Linked DNA regions of Ovis aries. The protein of the gene in region 1 interacts with the protein of each later gene in a biochemical or structural test. Links are inferred from orthologs where the notes say so. Each region holds a gene or a part of one and is shown on either strand. Other genes may lie near its edges.

Evidence for each region.
Region 2: the proteins of LMNA (region 1) and EMD form a complex in vitro, tested with the Homo sapiens proteins (4 studies listed by BioGRID and IntAct, with this or other methods). The link is inferred for Ovis aries from reciprocal best matches to the Homo sapiens genes LMNA and EMD.

What each region holds. Positions count from the first base shown.
Region 1 is NC_056054.1:106,141,134-106,155,518, reverse strand, and holds part of LMNA (lamin), read right to left. Parts: intron 6,024-14,385; coding exon 5,867-6,023; intron 4,568-5,866; coding exon 4,442-4,567; intron 4,159-4,441; coding exon 3,988-4,158; intron 3,785-3,987; coding exon 3,659-3,784; intron 2,868-3,658; coding exon 2,647-2,867; intron 2,554-2,646; coding exon 2,331-2,553; intron 1,926-2,330; coding exon 1,818-1,925; intron 1,712-1,817; coding exon 1,592-1,711; intron 1,201-1,591; coding exon 1,111-1,200; intron 329-1,110; coding exon 56-328; intron 1-55.
Region 2 is NC_056080.1:80,065,248-80,080,190, reverse strand, and holds EMD (emerin), read left to right. Parts: upstream 1-6,882; 5' UTR 6,883-7,006; coding exon 7,007-7,088; intron 7,089-7,186; coding exon 7,187-7,294; intron 7,295-7,461; coding exon 7,462-7,539; intron 7,540-7,728; coding exon 7,729-7,862; intron 7,863-8,333; coding exon 8,334-8,380; intron 8,381-8,462; coding exon 8,463-8,799; 3' UTR 8,800-9,202; downstream 9,203-14,943. UniProt on the Homo sapiens protein: Stabilizes and promotes the formation of a nuclear actin cortical network. Stimulates actin polymerization in vitro by binding and stabilizing the pointed end of growing filaments. Inhibits beta-catenin activity by preventing its accumulation in the nucleus.

The DNA.
Region 1 (14,385 bases):
CTGGAGGACTAGGGTCCTCTGCCCGCCGGGGGTTGGAGACAGAGGGCCGACTCACCTGGGTTCGGGGTCTGGAGTTGCCCAGGAGGTAGGAGCGGGTGACCAGGCTGTCCCCGAAGCTGCCACCCCCACTGCCCCCCACACTTCGGTAGCTGCGAGTGACTGTAACACTGGAGGCGGAGGAGCCAGAGGAGATGGATCCGCCCACCTGGGCTCCCGAGCCGCTGGCAGGCGCCTTGTCTGCGGGCTGCCCGCAAGTCCCGCACAGCACGGTGCGCGAGCGCAGGTTGTACTCGGCGGGGTCCCCCGAGCTGCTGCCTGCGTGGGAGCCCTGAGGAGGGAGACAAGGCTCAGGCCGGACGGCGAGTCTGGGACTGACCGCTCAGGCCCAACACCCAGGCTCCGCGCTCCGGCAGGGTCCAGGCAGAAAGGTGGGCTTCTGCGCCTAAGTAACCTAACTGGTGGGTGGTATAGGGCTTGGGGTGGGGAGCCTGGGCTGGGAAGAGGGGAAGGGAAGGACATGACAGGAGGAAGGGTCAGGAAGACTTGGGGACAGGCAGGGGACGGGAGCCAGGCTTTGACTCTTGTCTTAGCTACTCTAAGCTTCAGAGGGAAAGGAGAGAGAGTCAGCAAGCTTGTAGAGCGGCAGGCATGCAAAATTAATTGGGAGGAGGGTAGGTGCAAGAGACCCTTCTCCCAGGAAAAATGGGGAAAACGAGAGGCCATGCACGTGACCAGGATGAGGAGGAGACAAGAAAGGAGATGCAAGCGAGAGAAGTGTGGGCGGAGAGAGGCAGGGCTGCGTGCCCCGCGTCTGTCCTCCCTTCCCCGCCCGGGGGATAAATCCGGACTCTTGTCCACCGCTCCCATGGGAAGACTCCGTGGCATCAGAAGTTCCCGCTCCCTTCCTTACCAGAGTAGGGCACCCAGACACCTGGGTTCCCTGTTCAAGGTATAGGGAGGAGAGAGAAGAAAAGCCAGGGCAGCGAGTGAAGTTCCAAAATGTTCTTTAATGAAAAGATTTTTTGGCAGGGGGAGGCCAGGGAGAGGGTGTCCCCAGGCCGGGCTGGGTGCCCTGGCGTGGGCTGGGCCTCAGCGGCGGCTGCCACTCACGTGGTGGTGATGGAGCAGATCGTCTCCATCCTCATCGTCGTCGTCCTCGACCACGGTCACTGAGCGCACCAGCTTGCGCATGGCCACCTCCTGCCGCGGACACAGGACAAGGCTGAGGGTTAGGGGCTGCAGGTCGGAGAAAGGGTGTGCAGCATACCCACCCCAGTGACCTCCAGGAGCCTGCTCGCGCTCTGCCCCCCGTCCAGGCTGCCACTTGCTCTGTCCTCCGGGGCGCTGGAGGTAAGACACTTGTTTCTACTCCAGGGACGTGCTGTCCAGGTCTCTGGATAGGAGCATGATCTGCCCTTAACCATGCTCACTGTCTAACCCCCACCCCTCCTGCTGCAAGGGGAGCTATCTCTGGGTGGAGAGTTTGGGCCCTGGGAGAAAGCGGCCCTGAATTGGCCTGGGGGCAGCTGCCTCCGACTCTGGCTGCGGGGGAAGCCTTGTCCAGTGAGAGGCCAGCCTGCAGCACACTCACTTCCCCAGTGGAGTTGATGAGAGCTGTGCGCAGGCTGTTTCCGCAGCCCCAGGTGTTCTGCGCCTTCCACACCAGGTCGGTAGGGGGGCTGTGGGTGGCCCCAGCTCCTGCAGCCCAGATCTGGGGGATGGAGAATTCATTAGAGAAGGGCACTCACGCTCCAGCACACCCAGCCTCAGGCCAGCCCATCCCCACCCGAGGTCATCCGAAACACCCAGCCACTCACCGTCACCACCTGCCCGGCCTTCAGAGTGAACTTTGGTGGGAAGCGGTAGGTCAGCAGGGGGTCATCTCCATTCTGGCGCTTGATTTGCCAGTTGCCCATGGACTGGTCCTGCCCGAGAGGGAAGGGGCAGGTGAGAGAGGCTACTTCAGGCTCTTAGAGGGTTTATCACCTTCTATTCCTCCCCTCACAGCTCTCCCCCTTCAAGGATAAACAACAGCTACATCTAGGGGCACTTAGGCTGTACCAGACCTATTCAGTCCTTCCATCTTCCCAAGAACTCAAAAGTTAGGGGCCATTGTTCATGCCTGTTCTGCAGATGACAATGCTAGGAGAGGTTAAATACATTGTCCAAGAAGGTCTCACTGCACTGATGAGTCCCGGGGCCAGGAATGGAACCGGAGCGTGGAGGAGATACCCACACTTGCCCTGGTCTGATGTGAGGAACCCCCCTCCCCGCAAACTCCACCCCTTCACCGTCCAGGTCGTCTCCCTAAGCCGACCTGGGAGGCCTACCTCGTTGGACTTGTTGCGCAGGCGCACGAACTTGCCTTCCTCGTCCACCTCCTCCACGGCCACGCGCCCGCTGGTGCGAGCGTGCTGGGAGAAGCTGCTCCGGCTCTCGGTGGACTCCAGCTTGCGCTTTTTGGCGACGCTGCTCCCACTCTGGGTCTGGGACGAGTGGGAGGAGGCCCGGCCTCGGCTGCGCTGCGAGGTCGGGCTGGGGGACAGGCGGAGCCTGTGGAGGGGGAGGCAGGGGTGAGGGGGCCTGGTCAAGGCGGGTGGCGGGCGGCAGGAGGAAGGGGCCTCCGCCTGCCGCCCCGGAGCCCACCTCTCCTCCTCGCCCTCCAGGAGCTTGCGGTAGGCGTGGATCTCCATGTCCAGGGCCAGCTTGATGTCCAGCAGCTCCTGGTATTCATCCAGCTGCTGTTGCATCCTTGCCCGCATTTCCGCCATCTCCCGCTCCTTGTCCGCCAGCAGCCGCCGGCTGGTGTCGCGCTCACGGGCCAGCGAGTCCTCCAGGTCCCGCAGCTTCGCTTCCTTAGCTGCCAGCTGGTTGAGGGGGAATGGGGGTCTGGTGAGCTCTCGAGGTCCCCGAGTATGGAGAGGTAAGGGATAGGGGTGGGGCACCCCCCCGGGGCACACACCCTCCCACCCCCTCCCCCACCCCTGTCTTCAGGCTCCCATCAGAGCCTTTCATGGGCTCTAATGTGGCTGGGGCTGGCTGGCGACTGCGGAGTCCTTCTCAACATCCAACTGAAATCTCTTAACTTGAGGCTAGAACCTATTTCCTCTGCTACAAATGGCACAGCCAGCGACAATATTGATGCTGTTAACACCTCACTATGCCTGCAATGCAGGAGACCCCGGATCAGTCCCTGGGTTGGGAAGATCCCCTGGAGAAGGGAATGGCTACCCATTCTCCAGTATTCTTGCCTGGGAAAGCCCATGGACAGAGGAGCCTGGCAGGCTACAATCTGTGGGGTCACACAGAGTCAAACATGACTGAGTGACTAACACTTTCACTCTTTTTTTTTTTCCACTTTTAACACCTCACACTGTAGTCTTGTGGCAGATCTGAGTTAGGGAGGACAGGAATGATCTCCATATTCAAATGGGAAAACCTAGGCTCTGAGAAGTGAAGGTCAAGCAGGTAAATATCAAGAGATAAGAGGTAGTCCTGGACCAGCAAACAGGTCATGTGGCTCCAAATCCCAGGCTTCTTACTCAGTCCATGCTCCTCGGGGCATGTTCTGCGCCGGCCCTATGGGGGAGGGGAGGGGCGGTGGAGGGGAGGGGCGGTGGGGGGGGGGGGGGGGGGGGGGGGGGAGGCGGGGCAGCACCTGCTTCTGGAGCTGGCTGAGCTGGGCCGAGAGGCTGTCGATGCGGATGCGGGACTGCTGCAGCTCCTCGTGGGCAGCCCCCACCAGGTTGCTATTCCTCTCCGCTGACTGTCTGGCATTATCCAGCTGGGAGAGAGGACATAGGGTTAGGGCTGCAGGGACCAACCAGGAAGGAGGCAGGGACCCGAGAAGGACATCGCTGCTGCAGCCCGAGGTCCGGAGCAATCCGGGGCCCCGTCCACCTGATCTCCCACAGGACATCTCAGGGAGGGCAGCAGGGAGGGCTGCTGGGGACAGTGGCAGCATGGGAACCCCGGGAGAATGAGCACCTTGGCCGAATAGGTCTTCTCCAGTTCCTTCTTGTACTGCTCCACCTGGTCCTCATGCTGGGCCCGCAGCTCCTGCAGGGCATCCGCCAGCCGGCTCTCAAACTCTCGCTGCTTCCCATTGTCAATCTCCACCAGGCGCGTCTCGTGGCGGCGTTTGGTCTCACGGAGCTCCTGGAAGGGGTGGACCCAGAGACCAAAATCAGAACTAGGCCTTTGAGGATGAGGCCCAAGTGGCTGAGCTCCCAGCCCAATCCTAACACTGAACAAAGTCACTGTGAGCTCCGCTTTAACCTGGGGGCTGGCCACCACTCCCCCCAGCCCTCACCCCGACTCCCCATCACTAGAACAAGCCAGCCTGGCCGGGGAGCTCTGCACACAGCTGATACCCCAGCCCAGCTCTGACATCTTTCACCACCCAGCCCCAGTCCTCCGGTCTGCAGGGCACAGTTCCCACCTCGCTGTAGATGTTCTTCTGGAAGTCCAGCTCCTCCTTCAGGGTTTGCAGCCGGTTCTCAGCATCCACTCGTCGCAGCATTTCATCCTGAAGTTGCTTCTTGGCCTCACCCAGGGCTGCCTCGAGCTGAGAGGAAGGGGACAGAGGTCAGGGAGAGGGGTCATAGGACACCAGAGCTGGAAGGAAGCTGAGAAGGGGGTCATGTCCAGCACCTCCCTTTGTATGTGGAGAAACAGGCCTAAGGAAGCAAGAGCCTTGGATGCCCACAGAGGTGATGACGCATCTACTTCACAGTAATGACCTTGGAGAGTTGCTGTGCTAATGAAAATATAGAGAGTGCCTCCTCTTTCTATAGCTGTATTTTGCTACAGCCACGGAAATATGCCCAGAGTACAGAAGGAACATGAGGGAAGGGACCAAAGTGTGCCTGGGGTGGTAGTGGGGGGCTTGTAGGAAGGCCTCCAGAGTCTGAGATCTGAAGGACAGGCAAGTGGGCAGACAGGAGCAAGTGCAAGGGCGCAGAAGTACGAAAGCACACACATGCGCTTCGGAAGGCTCAGTACTGCTGAAGCCGAAGGATGGAGCCCTGGGGGGAGAGTGACGGCAGAGGTGTCTGGACTGGAAGGCAGGGGCTGGGCCATGGATCCATGGATCGCACCCTTACTGCCACGAAAAGATCGTCTGAAGCCTGAGTAGGGGTGCACCCTTCCTAGATCTTCATCTTAGAAAGCACAACCTGGGCGGTGCAGCTGGGAAGGGCTGGGGGCAGGGCCTGGGAGCAGAATGGCCCAGCCTTGATTTTCTGGCCAAACTGCTGATTTCTCCTAGTCTCTCCACAGTGTACTCTGGTGGCAAGGCCTAGCAGGGAAGAGCGCCCTGGACAGAGGCTTGGTGGCTGACTCTAGTCCTGACCTTACTCTGAGCAGATGTGGCGGTCAGATTGGGAACAAACCTGCTTCTTTGATTCTGTTCCCTAGCTTATACCATGAGACTAGACGCTGGAATCGATAGCAAAGTGTTTGAAAGTAAAGACCATCGTATACATTAAAAACATACGTCCATATATGGTCAGCCATCAGCTCCCAACTAGGGCTCTGTGGACAGTCTACACTCTTCTCTGATCTTCCAGAGAGGTCACGGCTGTCTATAGCAAGGCCAAACGGGAGGGATCCAGGGCCAGGCACAATTCATTTCAAAGTCAGATGGAAACGGTTTGTGGATTCTTTTAAATTCATGGTGCTAGACACCATGGGGAGCAAAGGAGGAAGCACTGTGGTCTGGATGGATGCAGCAATGCTAGGACACAGGAATGGCTCTGATGCGGTGGGACAGGCGCCTCCTGAGAATGCCTGGAGGGAGCAGTGAGTGTGCGTTTGGGCAGGGAGCAGGGTGCCTGCGTTTGGGTGGGTCTCGGGTGGGCCTCACCTTGGCCGCTTGCCCCCGAAGGTCATGCAGCTCGCCCTCCAGCGTGCGCTTCTCGCTGAGAGCAGTGCTCAGTGCGGCCTCCTTGGAGTTGAGCAGAGCCTCCAGGTCCTTGAGCCGGGCCTGGGCGGCCATCAGGTCTCCCTCCTTCTTGGAATTGCTGAAAAAGCCAGAAAAGAGTGGCTTTAAGAGGAGGAGTCTGCGTTCCTAGACAGAGTTAGGTCTCCCAGGGAGAGTGAGAAGTCAGGTCCTGGGAGGTCAGCGGCAGGACCTGGTTCTGCTATCCCCCAAGCTGCCAGGAGAGGGCATCCTTGGCTCTGGTTTGTTTGCGTCTGCCCGCCTCTGGGGCTGGACTCCCACTCTCCCAAGGCCCCCAAAACCCCTTTCCTGCTTCTCCACCCTTCCCATGACTCAGTGCTCAGGAACGTGCCTGGGGCCAAGGGCAAAGCTCAATCCCATGAGCTGAATGCTTTTCCCTCTCTCCCCTCCCATTCCTTTCCAAAGAGACAGAACCACCTTTGTCTCCTGCCCCTTCTCACTTAGGGCCTTAACCTTCTCCCCCCTGACTCCACCCACCTTCCATTCAGCCCAGCCTCCTCCTCTGCAGGGATCCAGACTGCCAGGCTCCTAGCCCTGGGGTCTGAGTGTGCCTGACGCTTATCAGTTTGAGTGCTAAAAGTGTCAGTCACCTGCCCTAGTCCCTTTACACACCAGGGACTGCTGGGAGGGAAAGTTTGGTCAAAGCTCAGGGAGACCTGGAATGAAGACGAGCAGGCATTGTGTTGATCTTTCCCTTTCTCAGGCCCAGTCTGGGTCCCCTGATGGGGCAGAGCACAAGGGTTCCAGCCTTCCCTCTCTCTCGGCCTCATCAGAGCCTGAGAATGCTGAGCCCAACCTATCGACCACAAGCCCAGCATCTGGTTCCAGATGTGACCCAGGCCTCCAGATCCATCTGGGCTCCAGCCTTGAACCTCCACACTCCTCAAACTGGGTAAAGCTTTACCTAGAACCAGTTCAAACGGGGTGGCCTCTGCCACCTCCCTTCCCTTCCCAGGCCCCTGATTATTTCTGCTGGATAGTGACCTGGAGAAATAGACGGATCCTATTTTCTTAAAGACCTCTGGGGAATGCAAGAACTTCCCAGTCGGAATGATCCCTTCACCGATGTGTGGGGAGAGAAAGCACTAGACCCAGGGAGTGGAAGGAAAGAACCCAAGGGCCTAGTCCTAGCTGCCATCTGCGACTCAGCAGACTTCAAGCATGAACCCACTTGGGCAGATGGAAAAAACGAAAAGCAAATGTGGGCAGGGGGAGAAAGAAATCTATCCTGGAAAGCAGAGAAGTGGCCCCGCCAACATTTTTCTCCTGCCACCAAGCCTGCAGCTCCAGGAGCCCCAGCAATTCAGTGTTAAGAAGGATGAAGAAGGCCCAGCAGGAGAAGCTCTGGACGGAGGGCCCAAGACTGGGGCAGTGTGCTTCTGCCGTTAGCTTAGAAGTCTTCAATCAGGAGTCACCTCCCCTCCAACTGGGGTCCACTGAGAGGGGGACAGAGTGCCACCCCGGCAGGCAGGGGAAGGACGTGAAGATCTCGGGGGAGCACCCCCAGCCTTGCTCTGTCCAGGCCTCTGGCCACATTTCAGAACAAGCTGTTTAGAGCAAGAGTGTCTGTCTCCTGTGAAAAGAGGCCCTTCCAGACCTGAAGGAGCTCTCCCCTCCTCCGTCTTAGCCAGAAAAGCTAAAAATAAAGTCAAAACCCAGCTCAGGTTTTGGCTGCCATCCGGCCCATCCCCTGGCTGGGAGCACAGCCCCAACTTTCCATGACTTCAGAACTTTTCCGAAGCTGAGGCAGCTGCAGGGGGAGGAAAGAAGAAGAAGAAAAACCGCTGGTAAAGTGAAGCGACACGGCAGACAAAGATTCTGAGCTCCTTGGGCTGACTCCAGGGCTGGCAGGGACTTCCCAGAACAGGCCTCCCTGCCCTGCAGGCTAACGGCTGGGAGGCTCTCAGAACTTAAGAGAACTGGGAGGAGCTTCGCATAGGTTCCGCTTAACCCCCTCCTTTTACAGATGAGGAAACTGAGGCACAGAGGAGGAAGGTGAGTGACCCCATGTCAAACACAGCATGCAGCTCCGGGGACCCAGGCGGAGTCACAGTCAATTCTGGCTGCTGATCAGGAATCCTCCCCCTGCTCCTCCTCCTCCTCCTCAGCCACAGGTCTAGAGAGAACCGAGCCAGCAGGATACAGGGCTCCCGATCCAGCCAGCCTGAGCTGGGAGCAGCAGGACAGAGCACCATGACGCTTTCAGAAGACGTCTCGAGGGCGTCTCTTCCCTAGTCCCGCCTCCATGGCCTCCTCAGACCCAGAGGAGAAACTTCAGAAGTTCTCCTTGGAAATACCTTTCCTGTGAGAGTGCCAGGCAGACACTGACACAGGAAAATGTAGCTGCATGGTCCCTGCCCTCCGGGGCTCACAGCCTGACAACTGCAGGATTTTGTCCTTCAGTCTAACCTCTTCAGTTAGGACGCTCCCAAAGGTGGGTGGTAGTAATGCCCATATTAATGCTAATAGGACTAATACTGGTAATCACATAATGACAGCAAACAGAGCTGACTGTGTACACGTTATGGCTGTTCAGCCACCAAGTGGTGTCCGATTCTTTGCTCTAAAAACTGTATTAACTGAATTGCCACAGCTTCCCCACTGAGACAGGTGCTAGTCCTAGGTGTCGGAGGAAACAGGCTCAGAGAACTCTGCCCAGGGGGCCTCCAGGATCCTGCAGCAAGTCTGGGAGCAGAGGTGTGAATGGGTGCCGGATGGCTCCCCCTGCCCTGCTAATGGTCTCCAAAGAAATTAAGGGGGCGATTTTCCTTCCCCTTCTGGAGACTCTGATTAGCATTAAAAGAGTTGCAAGGAAAGGACCGACATACACTCTGCGGATGAGGGAAGCCACTTGAGCAGAGAGGTAAGCAAGGAAGAGCCTTTGTGGTTTTCTCAGTCATTTTCCGGGAGCTCCCCTCTGTGGGGAAGCAGCCGCTATCACCCATGGGCTTATGACTCAGACCTCAGGAGCCCTGTGGCCAGGAGCCACACGCACCCCGCAAGAGATGGCTGGGGGTGGGGTGCAGAAGCCAGCGCCTCCCGAACCTCCTCCTCAGTCTTGCCTGTCCACTAGCTCCAACTGACATTGCTTCCTTAGTCGGGGTCCCCAGCCCTAACAGGGATCCCAAGCAGACATTGGCCAGGCGTTCAGCCCAAGGAGCGGTGCTGCCTGTGCCCCAGTCCACTGGGGGCCAGCAATGGGAAAGTTGGGCACATGCTGCCCCACAGTGGGCTGGCAGGAAGAACAGGGTAGGGCAGGCAAGGGGAGCTGGGAAGGGTGGGACCCAGGGGCTCCACAGGTGACTCATCCTCCAGCAGACAATACCCGGGCAGGTGTCAGGAAATCCTCTAGTGCTCACACGGGAGACCCTGGCTGTACCCACGTCCTGCCCAGGCCCCCATGCCACGCCACGGGGAGCCCACTCTCTCCCTCCCATCCGCCAGGCTCCTCCAGCACTGGAGTGGGTTCATCCCAGTGGGCTCCTGATACAAGAAGGGCTGGGCATCCTGTTTCTGAACTCTTCCCACGGCTGGCAAATCTGATCGCAGAAGGCGGGAAAAGTCGGGTGGGGCAGGGCAGGAGAGCAGAGAGGAAAAGGATAAGGCACACACACACAGGCACACACACACGCACACGCACACACACACACACACACGAGAGCAGAGAGGAAAAGGATAAGGCACACACACACAGGCACACACACACGCACACGCACACGCACACGCACACGCACACACACACACACACACACACACACACACACACACACACACACACACACACACACACACACACACGAGAGCTGGGAGCTCCCAGGCTGGGGTGCTATTAGGCAGAGGCTGGAGGGATAGGGGAGCCGGGCTTCAGGGCCACTGCAGGGCAGGGCTTTAGGGGCTTCTTGGGCGGGGGTGGGGGGGGGGGGGGGGGGGAGCAAGGCGCCTGGCGCAGCAAAGGGGCTGCGTGGGCACCGCGCCAGGCGCTGACCTGCCGGCTGAGTCAGCCTCCTCAGCCCAGCTCGGATGCCAGATATGGAAGCCAGGGCGGCCACAGGCCTGTTTGGGCCGGGTTGCTGGGAGCAACTTGCTAGGCCCCGAGGGAAAGGCCCCCATTTCCTCCGCTGGGCTGAGGAACACGAGGCGAGCAGAGACAGCCGGCTGGGGCTAAAAATAATCAGTGGGCGGGGCAGATGGCCACAGGGGCAGTGGAAGAGCCTGGCCAGCCCGCCAGGGCGCCCTCAGACCGCCCCAGTCCCCTCGCTGACCACGCCCCAGGCTCACCAGCCCTCGGAGTTCCCCATCGACGGGCGGAGAAGAGGGGGGAGGGGAGGCGGGAGCACCGAGACCCCGAGGCCCTGGCGTTTCCTGCCTCACTAAAAAGGGAGCCCCCTGTGGCTGGGCAGGGCAAAGCAGGACTGGGTGTGCAGCAGTGAGTCCCAGCCCTCCCCTCTCCTCCCAGACATGTACACCTCTTCCCAGGCTGACTCCCTGCCAGGTGACGGGGTCTATCCTGTGGCCACCCCACGCCGGGCCCCCACATTCCTATCACCCTCCTTTTGTTCCAGCAACTCCTCCCACTTCAATGTATTCTTCCCTCCCTCCACCTATCCAAACCCACACCTGCCTCCTTCGTTTGAGCCCTGTGCCTCCAGACCCAGCCACACCTCTCTCTCCTTTTCCAAGTCCGCTCAGCTGTTGTTTTACGTGCTGGTTTCTTCTCTTTCCAGTTATAAGTGTGTCTCGCGGCTTTTTCTGTATGTCCCCAAATGCCCTGAGGCCAGAAGATTCATATGTTCAAGGTGTCTAAGGGGGAACCTCCTGGAACAATTCCTGCCCTTTTACAGGTGGGGAAACCGAGGCCTGCAGAAGAGTAGGCTCAGACCCTAAAACCCTGCCCTCCCGGTCACCTGAGGACACTCGGAGCAGATGGAGACAGGCTCAGAAAATGGCACGATGCATGCAGGGCTCGCAGAAAGTAGGCAGTAAACCCCCAGGAAGAGTGTCCGGGAGGCACTTGGGCTTCTGCTCAATGGCCAGGAGTCACCCTAGTACCCAAGTGATGACACAGATACCTAGCAAAAGAGCACTCAAACATCAGCTGCGCCACAGCTGTGTGTGGAGCCATGAGGTTCCGCAGTTCCCTCTCCCAGGAGGAACCACTGCTGGGTTTCTAGGCTGGTCTGTGAGTCTGCCATCACTCTCAGGTATGGGCAGGATGTGGAAGGGCAGGGACATTTGGTTCCGCAATCTGGCTTTCAAGGCCCCAGCCCTCTCTGGAAAGGAGACCTTAAGGAGATCCACTGAGAGGGGCAGGTGTTCTAGGGACTGAGAAGCCCCTTGAACCTTCCCCACATGCCACCCTGTGGAAGGTCTGAATGTCTCACACCTGGAAAGTACACGGGAGGATCCCAGTATGGATCCCCGCCCCCACCCCTCCCACCCCGGCACGTGCACCCACAGCAGGCACAGCTCTGCTTCCGCACGCCTCCTTTGGGCGTGACATCCACCACATATGCTCGGGGTCCGAGGGCCCTCGGTTCCCCTTCCAGAGCTGCTAGGCTCCCAGCTGTCCTCACCCCAGACAAAGCCAGGTCTTAATTCCAAGCAAAGGGAGGGTTGGGATGGGGGAACTGGCTGGCGCTGAGAAGGGGGACAGGAGGCCTGTTGACATGTTCAGACGCAACTCCAGCAGAGGCGCTGGGCCTGGCGCAGGGCCAGGCCTGAGTCACAGCTGCTGGGTGTATCAACGTGGCATTGTGCAGCAGCCGGAGAGGCCTGCAGTCCGAGGCCGGTGCGCTGGGGTCCTGGACAACAGGCGGCGGGCTTCCTGACTAACCGCTCCCTCCTGCCAAACTCCACTTTCCCTCTTCCTGGCCTGTCTCTCCAGAAATCATTCCTGTGTTGTCATAAAAATGCAGGCCAAGGCCTGGAACAGACCAAAAGAAGTCAGGGCATGGAGGGGAGAAGGATGGTCTAGGAAGAAGTAGGAGGTCCTGGGTGTGGGAGGGAGGGAGGCCACTGGCCGACATCCCTACAAGAAAGCGATTCAGTTGTCCCTTCTTAGGACGTATTAACCTTCCATCCGATGGCTCACGGTTATTAACCCTGACAACAGCAGGAGGAAGGTGGGAGCCGCACCCCAAGATGGAGAAAGGAAGTTGGGGAGGACCTAGGAGTTCTGGTCCCGCTGCATTCCAGCTCCAGCCTTGGAAGATGCAACGCTGTCTCCCAGCCGGCAGAGGGTGGCAGTGTCATCAGAGCTTTGGGAGGAGGAAGGGTGGGGGGGTGCCTTGGCAATCCCAAACATCCCCCTCTGAACCGCCAGGGACTGCGCTCCTGGAAATCAAGGGTCTCTTACTTCCCTGAGCCAGTCCCGAAAGGGATTCCTGTATTGTTCCCCCTCCATCTGGCCCCCATCTGATTCAGAGCCTCCTCCTTCTTCCTGCCACTCAGAAAATTAGTTTTCAAAAAAGGCCGTCCCTCAGTCTTTCTTTCTCTGCCTGGACAATTCAGGGTCTCCCATCCACTCTCTACTCTGCCCTCTACCATGACTCAGCTCCTCTGCTGGGCCTGGGATTTTGGCCAGAATTATTCCTGGTTTCGACAGGCAGGATTCAGGCTTCCTCACAAAAGGACAGGGGAGTGTGGCCCCCTACTCTGCCCCACCTCCTTCCCAAAGTATCCCCCTTCCTTGAGTGTTTAGGGACAAGACCTCCTCACAGCCCAGCCTCAATGGGGGCATGAAGAGCAGAAGGTGGGCAGTTCAAGGTCACCCTGCACCTCCCTCTGATTCCGGCCCATGCTGTCTAATCCCGGCCAGCACTAAGGTAATGGGCCTGCCTGCCTGCCCCAGAGCCTCTGCTTCTTCTCCAGCACAGGTCCTCGGGACTCTCCTGCATGGTACAGCCTCAAGGGAGGTATGCTCAAAATACAGTGTCCTTTCCTAATAGTAATAAAAACAAAGCCTAAGCCAAGAGTGTAATGTCATAATAATTACCTGTTTGTCACAAACTTTCTTGGAAAAAGAGAGGAGGGTGTTAGTACTTTTAATTCCACAGCTTGTGGGAAATATTTCTATTGCGAATAGCATTGGCTATTAACTATTTTCACATTAATTATGTCTGATTTTTATATGCATAGCTTGGTATTTTAGAGAACTGTTTTCTCACTTTGTGGGTCATGGTACTACTTTGGAACTGGAGGCATCTCTGGAGATCTTCTGCCCTAACCCCTTTCTTTTACAGCTAGGGAAATCCAGAGGTGGAGGGTGATTTCTTCAAGGTCACAGAGCAGTTTAGAGGCAGGGCTAAGCCTGGAACTAAGGACACCGAGGGCCAGGGGTATTTTCACTGCCTCATGCTACCTGTCAGTTTGTTGGTAGATCACCTTGCCTTTTGTTAAGAGAAAGGAGACCCTGCAGCCTTCCCCATAGAACCTCTTTCCTCACCATCTCCAAGAACATTAGAGCTTAGCCTGTGTCATCTTCAGTTCAGGAGTCGGGGTTCCAGGGGCCAGGGAGGTAAGAATGGAATGAACTGCCCTGGACCTCTGGGCCAGACCTGGTCCTGGCTGCTGAAGCTGCTAAAGGTGGTCAGGGGCTGGGGAGGAGGGAGACTGGGGGGTGGGGGGAGGAGCACAGGGAAGCAGGGGGCACAGTAGGTAGGTAAAGCCATCTCCTCCCAGTTGTCCCCCCAGCTGTCCCTGCCTTCAGCCCTGACACTGAGCTACTGAATCACTGGGGGTGGGCCTGGGAGTGCAGACAATGGGCTCATTCCGTGCAAGAGTAAGCCTCAGACCCCTGGAGGCCAGGGGATGTGCCAGGGACATGGCATCAACCATGGGAGGGCCGTCGTCGGGACCCTAGCAGGAATTACAGTCTTTCTTGTTTCTCTTGGGCTTCTCAAGTACTTCCAGCTCAGCCCCTGGGGTTAATAGTACTTTCTTCTTTCCATTTGAATAAGAATGTGGACTTCAGGGTGAGGGGTAGCGTGGAGAAATGACTACAGGAGCACGCCCAGTATCCTCAAAGGCCTCCATCCCCGCTATCCTTATCCCCAAAGGGCACACTTTCTTACACGTCCAGGCAGGCAATTCCTATGACAAGTCCCAAGACGGTCTCAAGACAGGAGTTACCAGCCTCTCACAGCTCATGATTCATGGCCTGGAAGGGTCCTGGGTCTTTCCAGGTATGGGCTGTGGCAAAGACTATTGATCAAGTGATAACAGGCCCTGCAGGACAGCAGAACATTAAGACAACACTGGCCTCAGAGCAGAATCTCCAGAGTGCAGGGGTGCACTTCAGTCACCCCAACCCTCCTTCCACATCCTCCAACCTGTCCCTGAAGCTAGAGAAGTGAGGTTTAATGGTGTGTGTGTGTGCATGCTAAGTCACTTCTGTTGTGTCCAACTCTGTGCAGCCTTATGGA
Region 2 (14,943 bases), on another chromosome or scaffold:
TCCCTCCCCCCTGCACCCCAGAGGAAATGGGGCACTGGGCCAGGAGGCCACCGGCGCTCCAGGAGCCAGCAGCCTTGGAAGGGGCCTGGGCATGCCAATGGGCACTGGCACGGGGTGCCCTGTGATGCGATGCATGCAGAGATGGCGGGTAAGCCTGCCTCACCCACCGGCAGTCTACCAGAGGCGCGAGGGGCTTCCCCTCCGTGGCTGGGATGGCCCCTGAGCCCAGCGTGACCCAGGAGGCTGCCAGAGGGACCTGCCCCGGGCTTCCGATAATGCACTCTGAGCACCTGGGTCTCAGTGGGCTTCGGGGTCGTGGGAGAACAGAGGAGGCCTCCCGGACAGGGGGGCCAGGGGACTGAGGGGGGGCAAACCATGAAAGGCAGCTGGGGCCTGCCGTGGAGCCAGGACTGGGTACTGGGGACCTATTCGCTCAAAATACATTTTCTTGTAGATAACTGGAGACTATGGGGGGGATACTAAGACCAACAAAGGCACAGAAGCAAGAGGCCTGTCAGGGACAGTCACTGCCACCTTCTTCAGTCTGGAGAAGCCAGCCTACTGGTGGCTTCGTCCCCAGAGTGGACTCACTTCCCTCGGTCCTGTGTCCTTCCCCTCTGCAGGATGTTCCCTTCTTCACATCTTTTTTTTTTTTTCCCCCAGAAAGGCATGTCTCTGTCCCTCCTGCTTCGTACTTAGATCGAGCTTCCTACTAGCAGTACCTCAGTTCTCTGCTAAAGACCAGTGGGAAAGAAGCCCCTAGGTCAGCATGCCCAAATAAGGCCAACTCTCACAGCCCTGGGGACTGTGTCACCCACAGTGGGGCTGCAGTCAGCACCTGGCCTCCAGCATGCTCTCTTTGGGGCTGCCTGGTACCCCACACTGGTTTTTGCTCACCAGTGACATTTTTCAGTCTAAAGGCCTGACCACTTTAGACACACCTGCGCAAAATTCCACACCATGGTGTCTGGGGACTGGGATGGAGGTGGGAGTGACAGCAGTAGAGGGGGACCCGTGCAGACTCCTCCCTAGCAGGCCCCACCCAAGCAGAGATGAGAGCCATCCTTCTGATCCCCTGCCCCCCTGAAGAGCCAGTCCCCCAAGGAGAGAATCATACTGAGAGTTCATTGTCACTTGACAAGTGCCATCCAGTTGCATTATCTGTGTTCTTTTCTTAATCTGCAGAGAGCAGGGAAACTGAGTCAGCGTCAGTAACCAGCAGCCAACTCCAGCAGAAAGGGGGACAGAAGCCCTGGCTGCCAGCCTTAGGCTTCTTCCCTATTTGGGGGGTGATAAGAGATGGGGCTCTAACGAGTTCTTGTCCCCAGGGGACATAGTATCACCACCAGGTGGCGCCCCATCCCAAAGCCCCCAGATAGGGCAGTCCCTGGAAGCTGAAATACAGCTCTTTCATATTTTCCCTTATTTGGAGTCGATTTCTTGGATGTTGTTAGACACACCCCGCCTCCCACCCCAACTCCTTCCCTCAGACCCCAAGCCAGGCCCTCCCACGGCTGGTGAAAGAGAGGCACAGGGTGGCAGGAGAGGCTGCCCAAGCCCAGGTGTGGCAGGCAGGCTGACAACGCTCCAGGGCTGAATTCCCACCTTGACTGCGCTGCTAGGAGCCCGTGCAGGTGGGTCTCCCAGCGGCCGTCACCTACTCCTCCTGGCCCAGGAATTGGGGTGGGTGGGGGTGGGGGGCTGGCCTTCACATCCTGCCTGGCAGTGAACATCCAGCTCAGAGCCAACCTGGGACAGGGCCCAGCCTCGAATCTAGCATGGCCAACCCCATGTGCCCTCGCCCCAGTGGAGCGCAGCAGCCCAGAAGCCAGCCCCACACCTCTACCCAACGCAGCCAATGCCCAGAGCACTGATGTCAGGGAGGAACCGACCGTCGACATCCCTCCTGGGGGCATATTGGCTGCAAAGTGTCTTTCCAGGTGGCCTCTCGCCCTGACCCCACACAACGTCCTGCTTCAGAGCCCTGCCTTCCTGGACAGTCATGCAATGACCTGCCCCCCAGTTCACCCTCCCAGGGCACCCCCATGGCTGTTGGGCTCTCACACTGCGGGGCCAGACCCAGATTCCCCAGGAAACCAGGGAAGGCGGCTGCACCACCACACCCCGGCTTGCAGCTGGCCCCGGGCACCCCACCACCAACTCCGTGAGCTGCCCGCCGACCACTCTGCTCGGTGCCCGCCAACCGCTCCGCCCGGTGCCCGCCGCGGACGCCTCACCTTCTCTCCCTGCGGGCGGCCGGCGGCCGCGGGGTGGCGCCTGGCAGATCTTCGAGCCCGCGCCTGGCGCCTCGGGGCTCTGCTGGCGTCTGCTGCGCGCCGGGCGCCTCCACGCGAATGGGCCGCTGCCGCCCGCCTTCTTGTTGGCCGCACCCCCGCCCCGCACCCGGCCCGACTCGGCCCGACGAGAAAGCCTTAATTGGTAAAAATCACCCAGGAGCGGGGCGGGGGGGGGGTTTCGAGGGGGGGCCCCGCGGGGGCGCGCCGTGAGCTCAGGCGCCTGGGCAGCCGGCGACGCCCCCCTACCCCCGTTGAGATGAGCTCACCCTCTGCTGACGGGGAGGGGCGGCCCGGAGGGTCTGCAGAGCCTGCGTCTCGGCCCAGCAACGAAGGCCACCTCCTCCAGGGAGCTGCCCAGTCTTGCGCCGCCCCCCTACCTTTACCCCAAGCCTGGGGCTGGTCGGACTAGTTGGATTCTACCTTGGAGGGGGAAGTGCAACAGGCTCTAGCAGGTATGCACTGAGAGCCTCCCACCTGAAAGTCTGCACGGGGGCAGGGACCTGAGCCCCAAGACAAGCCAAACAACATCCCGGGCTGGCATGGGTTTGGCCCCTGCCCAGTGCCAGGCCTGGCCTGGAAGCAAGCAACAGAAGTGGACTGAATTCTCAGCAGCACAGTTAGCTGCAGTCCTGAGGCCTGGGCATGGACAGTGGGGTGCAGCCGAGGAGCCAAGCGTCTGGGGAACTAGGTGGGCACAGCCACACCCTGGCACTGCCAGGCTCCCTCTTCGTCTTCTGTGTGCCCATTTCCTGGTATTAACAGCGTCGTATTCAGCTCAAATGTCACTTCCTCGGGGAAAGCCACACAAAGCAGTGTCTTCTCACTGTGCCCACAACCCCCACAAAGAACTGCATCTTACATCCTGAGCCAATATTTGCAGGCACACACGCAGATCGACACAAATGGCTGAAATAAACGTTCCACGAAGTGAGACTGTCCCTTACCACCTGAAAAGCACTCTGATCTTTCTTCTTTTATTCTACTTCATTAAAGGAGAAAAAGCAAAGAAGGGAGCTGCTGCTGCTGCTAAGTCGCTTCAGTCGTGTCTGATTCTGTGTGACCCCATAGACAGCAGCCCACCAGGCTCCGCCGTCCCTGGGATTCTCCAGGCAAGAACACTGGAGTGGGTTGCCATTTCCTTCTCCAAAAAGAAGGGAGGGAGGGAGGCAAAAGGGGAGAAGCAGGAAGGAACAGGGGGGAAGAAAGGAGAAGTCTGCTGTCACCTGCTAACGTAGTTTGATATCTACAGCTGCACACTAACAGGAAGGCACTGATTGCCCTCCAGGCCTCTCCGCAGCCACTGCTGCCTTTGTTGGCAATGACCTCTCCACCTTGACCCCAGGTGAGATCGCCTAGCAGTGGCCTCGGTCTCTGTTTCTCCCCGCCCCATCTAGTGGGATCCACCCCTCCGCCCCTCACGGCAGTGGGTTATCCTCCCTTGATAGATGAGCAGTCTCAGTTTAGGTCCACAAGGTAGCTCATGGCCAAGGCTATCCTTCAAGGAGGGACACCCACCTGCCAGAGGCATTGCAATGGGAATCAGTGTACAATAGCTGGGGTAGCAGAAAGGAAGTGATGGCTTCATGGCTGGATCTCAGGACCCCCCACCTCCGTTTTAATCCTCTCTTTACTCTCTCTCTCCCCTCCCTCCACACCCCTGAGACACATGCAACTCAGGGTCTCTACTTTTCCAGGTCTGGGGGGAATGAAGGTTTATATAGCACCAGCTCTTCCCTGGTAAAAGATTTTAACAAAGGCTTTTGCTCCTTGTGTTGATGGAGAAGGAAATGACAATCCACTCCAGTACTCTTGCCTGGAAAATCCCATGGACAGAGGAGCCTGGTGGGCTACAGTCCATGGGGTTCAAGAGTCGGACAGGACTTAGCGACTAAACCATCACCTTGTGTTGAAGGTTCCACAAAAGCACTAGAAGCAGCTCCATTCCTGCTGCCATGCCGACTGTCCCAAGGCAGACTGACGTGTCCTAGGACTGGAACACAAGGTGTCACCTGAGAGGTTTTTGGTCAGCTAACCATTCCCTGCTATATATTGATTGTGACAACCTTCCAAACGGTCATTTTCACACTAGTCACCATCTTACAACTTTTGTTACCATCTGAGCCATGTTTTAAAGCATTCGACTGCTAGGCCAAACCCAGAGGATCTTTAACATCCTTAAAGGGAAAAAGTAAGCTTTGTATTGTACCAAAGGATTCAGGTTCTGATCTTAAAACATTAATCACTCAGTGAATGTCTCCTTGGACCTGTTGAAAAATGTATTCATGTTGATATTACTTTTCCTTACATTTTTTGATGTTGCTAGGATCACAAGTTACATAATCTATTGCTTAGAATCCTAGTCCTTAAAGGTGAAACTGTCTTGTTACTGACTTGGAATCAGTGGCTTCCAAGCCCTTTTCGCCTCAGCCAAAGTTCCAAAGAAATGCTTGCTTTTAACTCTGCCCACTCTTCCCAGGAAGACTCCCCTCAAGGCCCCAGATTTCCACTAACAGCTCCTCTGCTGACTCGGAATCCCCAGTGGGCCACGCTGTCCAGGTTATGACCCCGAGGGCTAGGTACTGGCTAGGGGAACATCCATGAATGAATTGTTGCCCTGGGTGCCCCTGTATAAGTCCCCTCCTTCTCTGGGCCCTTAATTCCTCCTCGATGTCATTGTGGCAGTGCCAAGGGCCTCTCAGCTCTGATGGTCAAGGGCTTGCCTGGTTTCTAGTGGTTTGAGACAGGTCTGCCTGCAGTGGGGCTGGCTTGGGGCTCCAGGTGGGCTCATGTGCAGGAGACCATCACAGGTCAGCCATGTGGTGCCATCTGTGGTGGGACCTCATAGTGGGGCAACTGGGGGAGAGGGAAATAAAAGGCAAAGGGCCAAGGCAGGTGCCGGGGAGGGGGTGCTCCCAGAGGAGAAGGCAAACTTAGAATTCCTTGACCTCATAAGGAAACGGCTTGGGTCTGTATGGGGCGGGGGTTGGCAAGGGGAGGCTGGCCTCCGGGACAGGGGCCAGCACTGCAAAAGAAGGCTTAGAGAGGTGCTGGGGAATCTGATCTGGCCCAAACTCCAAATTCCGTGAAGCCGGCTCTGAGGAGCCCAGAGCCCAAATGCCATCTCCCTCCCTGCTCAGAGATAAGCAGCAAGACCCTTGCCCTGCCTGGGGGCGCTGCCCCTCATCCGACCATGCATGCGTGGGGCCCTCATATTTTGGGAGATGGAGAAAGCCTCATTTCTAAAACCTGGCCAACAGCAACCTTGAGGAGGGGCTTCGTATGTGGTTAAACCAGGGCCCTATCTTCTCTCCACCCCATGAAGGAACTTTTGCTGAGACCGAGGCTGTGACCCTCACCAACTGGGCCAGTCTGCCAGCCTTCATCTCAGTTCCGGGAGAGGCACTTAAGTTTCCCCTCATTCCATTGGCTGGCTTTGTTAGAATGTCACTGTCATCTTCTTCCTAATTTTCATGGGACAGCTCTTCCTGACCAAGGCTCTCACCAACTCCCTGTGACAGGCCCTGGCTGCCTTCCATGGTTTGCCCCCCTCAGTCCCCTGGCCCCCCTGTCTGGGAGGCTCCCTCTGCACTCCCACGACCCTGAAGCCCACTGAGACCCAGGTGCTCAGAGTGCATTATCGGAAGCCTGGGGCAGGTCCCTCTGGCAGCCTCCTGGGTCACGCTGGGCTCAGGGGCCATCCCAGCCACGGTGGGGAAGCCCCTCGCGCCTCTGGTGCACTGCCGGTGGGTGAGGCAGACACCCGCCATCTCGGCATCACAGGGCGCCCCATGCCAGTGCCCATTGGCATGCCCGGGCCCCTTCCAAGGCTGCTGGCTCCTGGAGGGCCGGTGGCCTCCTGGCCCAGTGCCCCATTTCCTCTGGGGTGCAAGGGGAGGGAGGGAGGCGGTGGGAACCGGCGGGCGCAGGCCAGGATCCTGCAGAGCGGGAAGGCGTGCTGGGGCAGGGGGTCTGGGGCTCTGGGGGGCGGTTTATGGTCAGGTGGCTACAGGCTTCCTTGGTGTGGCGCGCGCGCGCACTGCGCGTGCAGCAGCGCCTAGTCTGGACCCGTGCTCTCCAAGGGCTTGCCCCTTCGGATCAGGCCCCTTCTCGCAGCCGCCGGCGACGCGCCCGCCTGGGGCGCGGCCAGGGACCCGCAATTGCTGGAGCAGAGGGGCAGTTGAGACCGAGCGGACTCCACGTGACTCAGGGAGGGCGAGCCCCGCCCAGCGCGCAGCCCCGCCCAGCTCCCGCATCCTGCCCAGTTTCTGCCGGTTGCATGGCCACAGGCCCCGCCCCTCCACCCTTCTGACCCAAATAGCCGAGCGGGTGACGTCGCGGCTCGCGGGCCCCGCCCCGCTCCCAAGCCGGGGCGGGTCTAAGCTAGTTCCCGTCGCGCCCAGGCCCCGCCCCCTCGCTGGGGTCCAGCCCTAAATGCGCCAGCGTGTGACGTCTCTGGGCTCGGGAGCCCCGCCCCTCCCCGCCCATTCGCGAGGCTCCACCAATCTGCGCTGGCAGCTCTCTGCGAGGCCCGGCCCCGCTCCGCACAGCGCGCGCTGCCCGCGGAGACCGAGACTGTGACGCGGGCGTGACGCGCGCGTAGCCGCTCCCGAGGCACTCCTGTTTCCCCTGCCGCGCTCCGAGGCCATCGTCTCTCGGCCGGTGTTGCAAGGCCCAGGCCTCCCCCAGGCCTCCGCCGCCCGCTGCCCGCCATGGACGACTACGCAGTCCTCTCGGACTCCGAGCTGGCCGCCGTGCTGCGCCAGTACAACATCCCACACGGGCCCGTCGTCGGTACGCGGTGGACGGAGGGCGGGCCCGCTCCCCGCGCTTAGCCCCGCGGCCCCCTCTCGGCCCGCTCCCTGACCGCCCTGTGCCCCGCGTCTGATCAGGTTCCACTCGCAAGCTCTACGAAAAGAAAATCTTCGAGTATGAGACCCAGAGGCGGAGGCTCTCGCCCCCGAGCTCGTCCGCATCCTCTTTCTCCTATCGGTTCTCGGGTGAGGCTCCCGTCCCAGGGCCCCGCCTGGCCGCCCTTGGGGACACGGTTTGGGGGACGCTGAGGAAGGGGTCGCGGGGGTGTGGCCAGGGCACTGGCTGGAAGGGGCGCGGGGGAAACGGGAGGGGACCCCTGTGGGCCAATGGTCCTAGCCCCTCCCCCATTCAGACTTAGATTCGGCGTCCGTGGACTCGGATATGTATGATCTGCCCAAGAAAGAGGACGCCTTACTTTACCAGAGCAAGGGTAAGGCAGGGGTGGGGTGGGCACTCTGACACCTTCCTTCCAGTGTCAGCCAGAACCTGAGACCTCAACCCCATGCGTCCTGCAGTAGCCCTGCAGCACCCCCCCCCCCAATGGGATTCAGATTAGGGCCATCGGGCCAGGTGGGGACACCGTTGCCCCTTCTGCTACCGCTGCCCCCCCCTTCCTAAGGCTATAATGATGACTACTATGAGGAGAGTTACTTGACCACCAGGACTTACGGGGAGCCTGAGTCTATGGGCACATCCAAGGGCTTCCGCCAGCCCTCAGCTTCACTCTCAGATGCTGACCCCTTTCACCGCCAGGTGAGCTGAGTTGTCGGGCACCCTGTACTTGGGTACAACCTGAGGGGGTCCTCATGGGGTTTGGATGAGTCAAGGGAACCACTGGGCACAAATGGTGGCTCAGAAACCTCCAGGGAGAGGTGGGGCCTGCAGACACCTGCCTGGTCAAGACCTTTGGGGTGGGGGAAGGGGCTGTCAGAACTGTTTTGACTAGTGTGCCCAGGACGTGCCCTGGCTCTGGTCTGGGATCTAGGTTTGAGCTCTTTTTGAGAATTCTGGGGCAGAAAGTAGGATGCAGGCAGCCGGGACAAGTGGCACGGCCCTGCAGACATAAGGCTGAGGACCAAGAAGGGGGTCTGGAGGGTGGCAGGGCCCAGGCCTTTAATCAGTGTTCAGAACAGGCTGGGAAGGGCAGTTTGGACTGAGGGTATGACCTGTCATACCTACACCGACCCTGTCAATAGGTATTCTCATTCTGATTCACTTCTGTAGGTCCGTGATGACAATCTTTTCTCTTTGGAAGAGGAAGGCAAGGATCGGTGAGTATTAAGGCGAGCCAGGGGCTGGGGCTGATTCAGGACTCAAGCCCTCCTGGTCTACCTACTGCACTCTTTGCCTCAGGGAACGCCTCCTGTATGGCCGGGACAGTGCCTACCAGAACATTGCACACTACCGCCCTATTTCCAACATCTCCAGAAGCTCCCTGGGCCTGTCCTATTATCCCACATCCTCCTCCACCTCGAGTGTGTCCTCATCTTCATCTTCGGCCCCTTCGTGGCTCACCCGCAGAGCCATCCGGCCTGAAAAGCAGGCCCCTGGGGCTGCCGGCCTGAGCCAGGATCGCCAGGTCCCGCTCTGGGGCCAGGTGCTGCTGTTCCTGGTCTTTGCTGCCTTCCTGCTCTTTGTTTACTACTCCATGCAGGCCGAGGATGGCAACCCTTTCTGGGCAGAGCCCTAAGGGTCTGACCTCGTACCTTGGAGGCCGGCTCCTCTTGGAAGCCCTGGCTGACTGCCTTATCAGTGTTTGTTGGGGGAGGGGGGTTGGGGCTTTTCTGTGTGTTCTAGCTTGGGGTTACCAGGACATGGGCAATGTTTGCTGACCCCTGCCCTGTCCTGCCAGGGAGGCAGCAGGCCTGGGCCCTCTGCGGCATGGTGGACCTGGGTGGGCCTGCCTCTGGATCCTCCTGGCCCTGCTTGCCTGTCACCCTTCGGGCCTAGGAGGGCAAGACCCTTCTCCTGGAGAGGAGAACATGGTTTTGGTCATCGCATGCCTCCTATTTGTCGTCACCTCATGGGGGGATTAACCAAAGGCCACCCTGAGTTTGTTTTCGTGGACACAATAAAAGACCATTTATTTTTAATGTGTGGGTTCTTTTCTTTAACATGGGGAGGGGTTGGGCTGCCCCCCTGCTAAAGGCTTCCAGGCCTTGGGTCTCCAGAATTGCCATCCAACTTTGTCAGTTCATCCTTTCGTCCTTTGAGCCTGAGATAGGGATCATAGGCAACCCATAAACTCATTTATGTTTTGCTTTTGGTGCCCGCTCCCTGACATGTTACCAGAAGCTCTTGTAAGTGCTTATAAAAAATAGTCACACAGAGAGCCCACTGGGAAACGCAGGTGAGGCTGCTTGCACCGTGTCAGTTCTGGGTGTTTCAACTGGGACCAGCAGACACCAACTGTGGTGTCCAAGGGCAGAGTGATGGGAAGGAAATGAGGCATCTGCTTGATGGGCTGCTGGAAGGCTGGTTGTCTAATGACAGGGGAAGGCTCTCAGTCCTCTGGAATGTTTCATCTCCTTTTAGTAAACCAGTTCCTCACCTGGGTATTACCACAAGGTTTTCTGCTGTGGGCATTTAACAATTTTCACAGTTTACATGTGATTTTAACATCGAGTTGGAGAAAGAAATGGCAACCTACTCCAGTATTCTTGCCTGGAGAATCCCAAGGACAGAGGAGCCTGGCGGGCTACAGTCCATGGGGTCGCTAAGAGTCTGACACGACTGAACGACTTTCACTCACTTAACATCAAGTGCTAAGGAAACATGGGGTAGAATGCCACACTGTTCGTCTGGGCTCCGCACTGCCTGTAGAGGGCAGTAAAGTCTGGAGAAACAGGCACACAAAAGGGAAGCAAAGGCACCCCCTGGGCCACCATTGGGTGGGACCCTGGCATCTCAGCTCTGACGGGCTCCTTCGTACAGGTGGCAGGACTTGGCAGGGCCTGCCCTCTCACCTGCACGTGCACCATGGGCTCCTGAGCCTTGGGGCTCTCCGCTGTCTATGGCCGCTGGGTAAGCTCTGCTCAGGGCCAGACTGGAACCTTTCTACCAAAGCTTCTGGACACTTCTTTTTGCTGCATCCTAGTCTCCGCACTTTTATGGGGTGGGATGGGGTGGGCGTTTTCCTAAAACCAACAGGCTTTCTTTGTGCATTTCAAATACACCAAAAAGAAATGGCTTCTCATATTCTCACCCCTCCCAGAGCCCCAGCCTCCCTCGTTTGCTGCTAGGCACTCCCACCTGACTCCTGTGGCACCCAGTCCACTGTGGCCGGGACACCCCTGAGCCCCCAGCATCTGTCTCATGCCATCCTAGACCAAGAGCTGAGACACGGATGCTCCGTGGTGGGCGGTGGGCATGGGCAAGAGGTGTGGCCTGCTCATCTGTGACCACAGGGGCAGGTGGTCAAATTAGTGAACTGGAGGGTGGGAGAACAAGGAGTCCCATCGTCAGGGCATCAGAACTCCACAGGGGCATGGCGCAACATCTCATTTCGGCAAGTGATCTCAAGTGCTCCTCCTGGGGGTGGCTGTGCAGCGGGAGACCCACGGGGTCCTGGTGGAGAGGAGGGATTGCAGGGAGGAAGGGGAGAGAGATGGCATGGCCTCTGCACGGAATGGTCCCCTCCGGGCTTCAGATCGTCCATCTGCAGGGCCGAGGGGGAGGCTAGATGTGCTTGGCAACCACTGCTGTGTCTGAAGGGAGACAGAGTTGCCTCCCAGGTGACACAGTCTCCCCCTTTTATTTCTCATGGGTGACGACATCCATTGATCACCATGCACCAGACGGAGGGTTTCTGAGGGCCTTGCTTCAAAATCACTGCTCCAGGGCACTGAGATACCCTCCTCCCAGAGAGCTCTCCTGAGGACTCTGGACCTCCCTCCAGACTCCCGCCAGGCTTAGCCTTGCTTCCAAGGCCCTGGACCCCCATAAGGGCGCCTGAATGCCTCCAAGTGCTCTGGGCACCCCAGCCAAAAGCTTTTGAGGGCTCCGTGAGCCCCCAAGAAACATCAGGCTTCCAAGTCCCCACCTAGGGCTTTCCAGGGCTCTGAGACCAACCTCCAGGCTCCTGCCTGGACCATGGGCTGCAGTGGTACTGGGAGCACAGCAGGGGGCAGCAGCTTCCTAGCGTGCAGGACATCTCCTGCCATCTTAGGTACCACCAGAGCGGAGTCGGGGGATGGTAGTGGTGGTTGGCAGACATGGAGGAGCCTAGGAGGCCCTGGATGAGGCAACTGAGCTGGTAGCTTGGGACCCTGCCAGACAGCCTGAGCAGCATCCCTGGTGGAGCACAGAGAGAAGTGCCCGGGAGGTATGGCAAGCAGGGGGAGCTCCTGATGCCACCCTTGACATCAGCCGCACCCTCCCCCCGCCCCCAGGTCTAGGGGAAGTAGCAGACAGCATTTCACAATCTAGGACCACTCCGACCTTGACCACTCTACTGGGCTAGTCCCAGCACTGAAGAAGCAGCCATCCAAGAGTGGGTACAAGCCTGTGGGTACAAGCCCGTGGGTCCACGAGGATGAACCTCCCCAAGGAACTAAAGAAAAGGAGGGTGTCACTGTTACTGCCCCTGGGGCTGGCCTTTGGCCTTAGGCTCAGCATACCCATGCCCTGGAAACTAGCCCCAGCCCCTCCCCAGGGCAGGCAGGAGCTCAGTAAAGTCCCCTACCACTGGGGGGAGCCAGGTAGGGAGGTCCTCCCAGAAAGCCCCCTCTCACCTCTGCCGGCCCATCAGGCACCAATCCCCTACCTGGACTCACCCAGATTCTCCTGCCTGCTGCCTGGACCAGCCTGCCAAGAGCAGACGGTCCTCCCTGCCATCAGTCTACCCTGCCATCCCGGGTTTCAAAGCCTGCCTGGTGGGGGCCCCTGGAGGGAGAATGGCCCCAGAGGAGAGTGTAACCAGGAGTCCTGTCCCCTCCCTGGATAACACATCGCACCCAGATGGTCATGAGGCCTGCAGGGCGGCAAGAGGAGAAGCTGGAATGTGTAGGGGGAACGATCCTGAGGACAGCCCTGAGGAGAGGCCACGGGCCAGACCAGGCCAGAGCCTCGACCAGGCAGGGGAAGGAGGGAGCGAGACAGGGCGCCACCTCTGGAGGGCTTCTGGAGAGGAGGACACGCAGATGGCACCAGGAGCCCATCTGCTGGGGACAAGCGGCATGAGACCTGGCCCCCCCGGAGCAGAGGAGGGGTCCAGCCACAGGTGCCCGCCGGGGCCCTTCTTCCCTACTAAGCCTGGGGAGGGGGTGTCTGGTCACCCTGTGGGGAGTGGCCCCTGCATCCTGCAGGTCCTGTCTGCTCTGAGTCAGGGGGATGGGGGAGCTGATCACTCCCACACCACAGCCGGCCCGCCCCGCCCCGGGGCACCCCTGCACCTCACTCTCCCTTGTGCCCGCTCCCCCAGGAGGGTGGGCCGGACCTAGGTGAAGCGAGGGGCACAGTGCCCCTCAGGATGGGACGGCACCCACCCACAGAGAGAGAGCCTCGGTGTTTCAATGATGGCGATGGAGGTCTAGAGACCCTTGGAAGTCCTGCACGGCCCCCAGTATGGGCAGCCACACCCCACTCGAGGGCGCAGGACTAGGGCACTGATGGGCACCCCACTGGAACCCCGACGGAGGCAGTGAGCCAAGGGGGGAGCAGCTGATATGTTAGGGTCAGTAAACGTGAAGAGTGATGGACGCTGGCCGCCAGGAACTCGAGTGTGTGTGTGTGTGTGTGTGTGTGTGTGTGCATGCATGTGTGCCTGTGTGTGTGTGTGTGTGTGTGTGTGTGTGTGTGTGATCCAGCTCCAGGTCCCAGCTGTGGACAAGTAACAGTCAGCAAACATGCATAATGGATACTGGCCGCCAGGAACTCGAGTGTGTGTGCATCTGTGCGTCTGTGTGGATCATCCAGGTCCACGTCCAAGCTGTGTGTGTGTATCATCCAGCTCCACGTCCCAGCTGTGGACAGGTCCCCAGAGGACAAGGCCCGCCACCTACAGCAGCCTCCTCCACAGGCCAGGGGCACCCCCAGGAGGACTTATGCACTCGGCAAGGGCACGCTGTGCTGCTCAGAGATCAGGCTGGCCTCAGCCAGCTCCACCACTCGCCACGGATGTCTGCAAGGTCCCCATGAGCCCAGGGAGGCCTCAGCCCAGGGAGCAGGGCTGAATGAGGGGGACTACTCCGGGACCCAGCACTGGCAGAGGCTGGGCTGCTCCAGATGCCTGAGCTCCTGAGGGCAGGCACCATCATGCCCGGCGGGCGGAGGACGAGGACGAGGGTGAAGCCCGGGGCAGGCAGACAGTGGGGCGGGGTCAGGGCTGGGCCGCTGCCCAGACTGTGCCCGTCCACCAGGCGGGTACCTGCAGGAGCTCCGCAAGCCACAGCGCCTGGGAGGCAGGAGAGGGAAGACACTGCCCATGCAGCCCTGGGCCTGAGGGCAGGCTTGAGGAAGGCAGGCCTGAGGAGGGCAAAGATGGCAGGGCAGCCGGCCCCTTGTCGGTCCTTGTGCCTGGGGCTCAGGGGCTGCAAGGCGGCTCTACATAGGGGAACAGTCAGCGGGCCCAGGAGTCTGGGACCACAGGGGGCTTGAGCCTCTCCAGGAGACCCCAGGACCCTGCAGTGGCCCCACATCCTGCCCCACGAGCCACGTCCACGATCCCCGAGGACAGGCCCCGCAAGCTCAGCCTCAGCCTCTGCTTCTGCCCCGGGACGGAGACAGAGAGCCCGGCTCTCCCGAGGCCAGGGTTTTCAGGCTCAAGAAGAGCGTAGTGGCCATGGACGGGGCCAGGAGCTTGCGCCAAGGGCCCCAGCACTGCCCAGAAGCAAGAGGCAACAGGAGGAGCCCTCACCGCCCACAGAAGCTGCATGACACATTCAGAGCCACCAAGCGTGTCACCAGGAGTCCCGTCTCAGTCCCAGCCAGGAGGTGGGGCGGTGGGCACGTCCCCCATGGGCACAGCGGGAGCGCCTTCCTGGGACCAACGGGACACTCAGCTGCCACCCCAGGCTGGCACCAGCCCAGCCCAGGGCTACCGGGCACAGTCATTGAAGAAAAGGGGCTCATCAGCCTTCACCCCCTCAACGGGGGGCCCCTGAGAAGGAGGGGCTGCGGGCAGGGCTGACCACAGGGTGGGGACGCCTCGGAGGTCAGAGAGCACGGGGCTCAGGCCTGAGCACTTGCACAGCCGTGGCGTGCACGGGCTGCCAGGGTGAGAAAGCTTTTGCACCCGTGCCCAGGGCTGCACCACCAGCTGGGATGGCCCTTCGGGCTGCGGACTCCTGGGAGGAGGGCAGAGGGCACACGCCACGGGCTCTGCGGGCCATGCTGGGATCATCACATGGTCTCTCTTTCTCTGGCTTTCCGTGTGTTTGGTCTGCAACCATTTCAAGGTGAAAAGCCACTCTGCCTGTACAACACACACCTGGCATGGCTTGGTTCCGGGCTGCAACCCGCCACCCCTGCTTCCACAAACGACACATTCCTGAGGGGTCTGGGCAGCCTGGGAGTCCCACACCCGGGCTCAGGGGCAGGGACACTCCTTGGAGGCTTCTCATGCGGCACGAACATGAAGAACCCAGGCCCACGCAGGTACTGCTCTCTTCTCCACGGGGTGACCAGTGTGAACCATAAAACCACAGCAGAGGCGAGGGAGTGAGTTATGAGACAAACACTTTGGCTTCCATCTCGGGGCTGCTCTGTCTCTCTGAGATCGCTGGATCTGGGGAAGGCCTGACCCGAGCAGCCCGGTGGGGAGGGACCGTCCCCTGCCGCAGCCCCGTGAACCCTCCAGAAGCAGAGCCTACCCCCCTCCCGCTCCGACACCCCA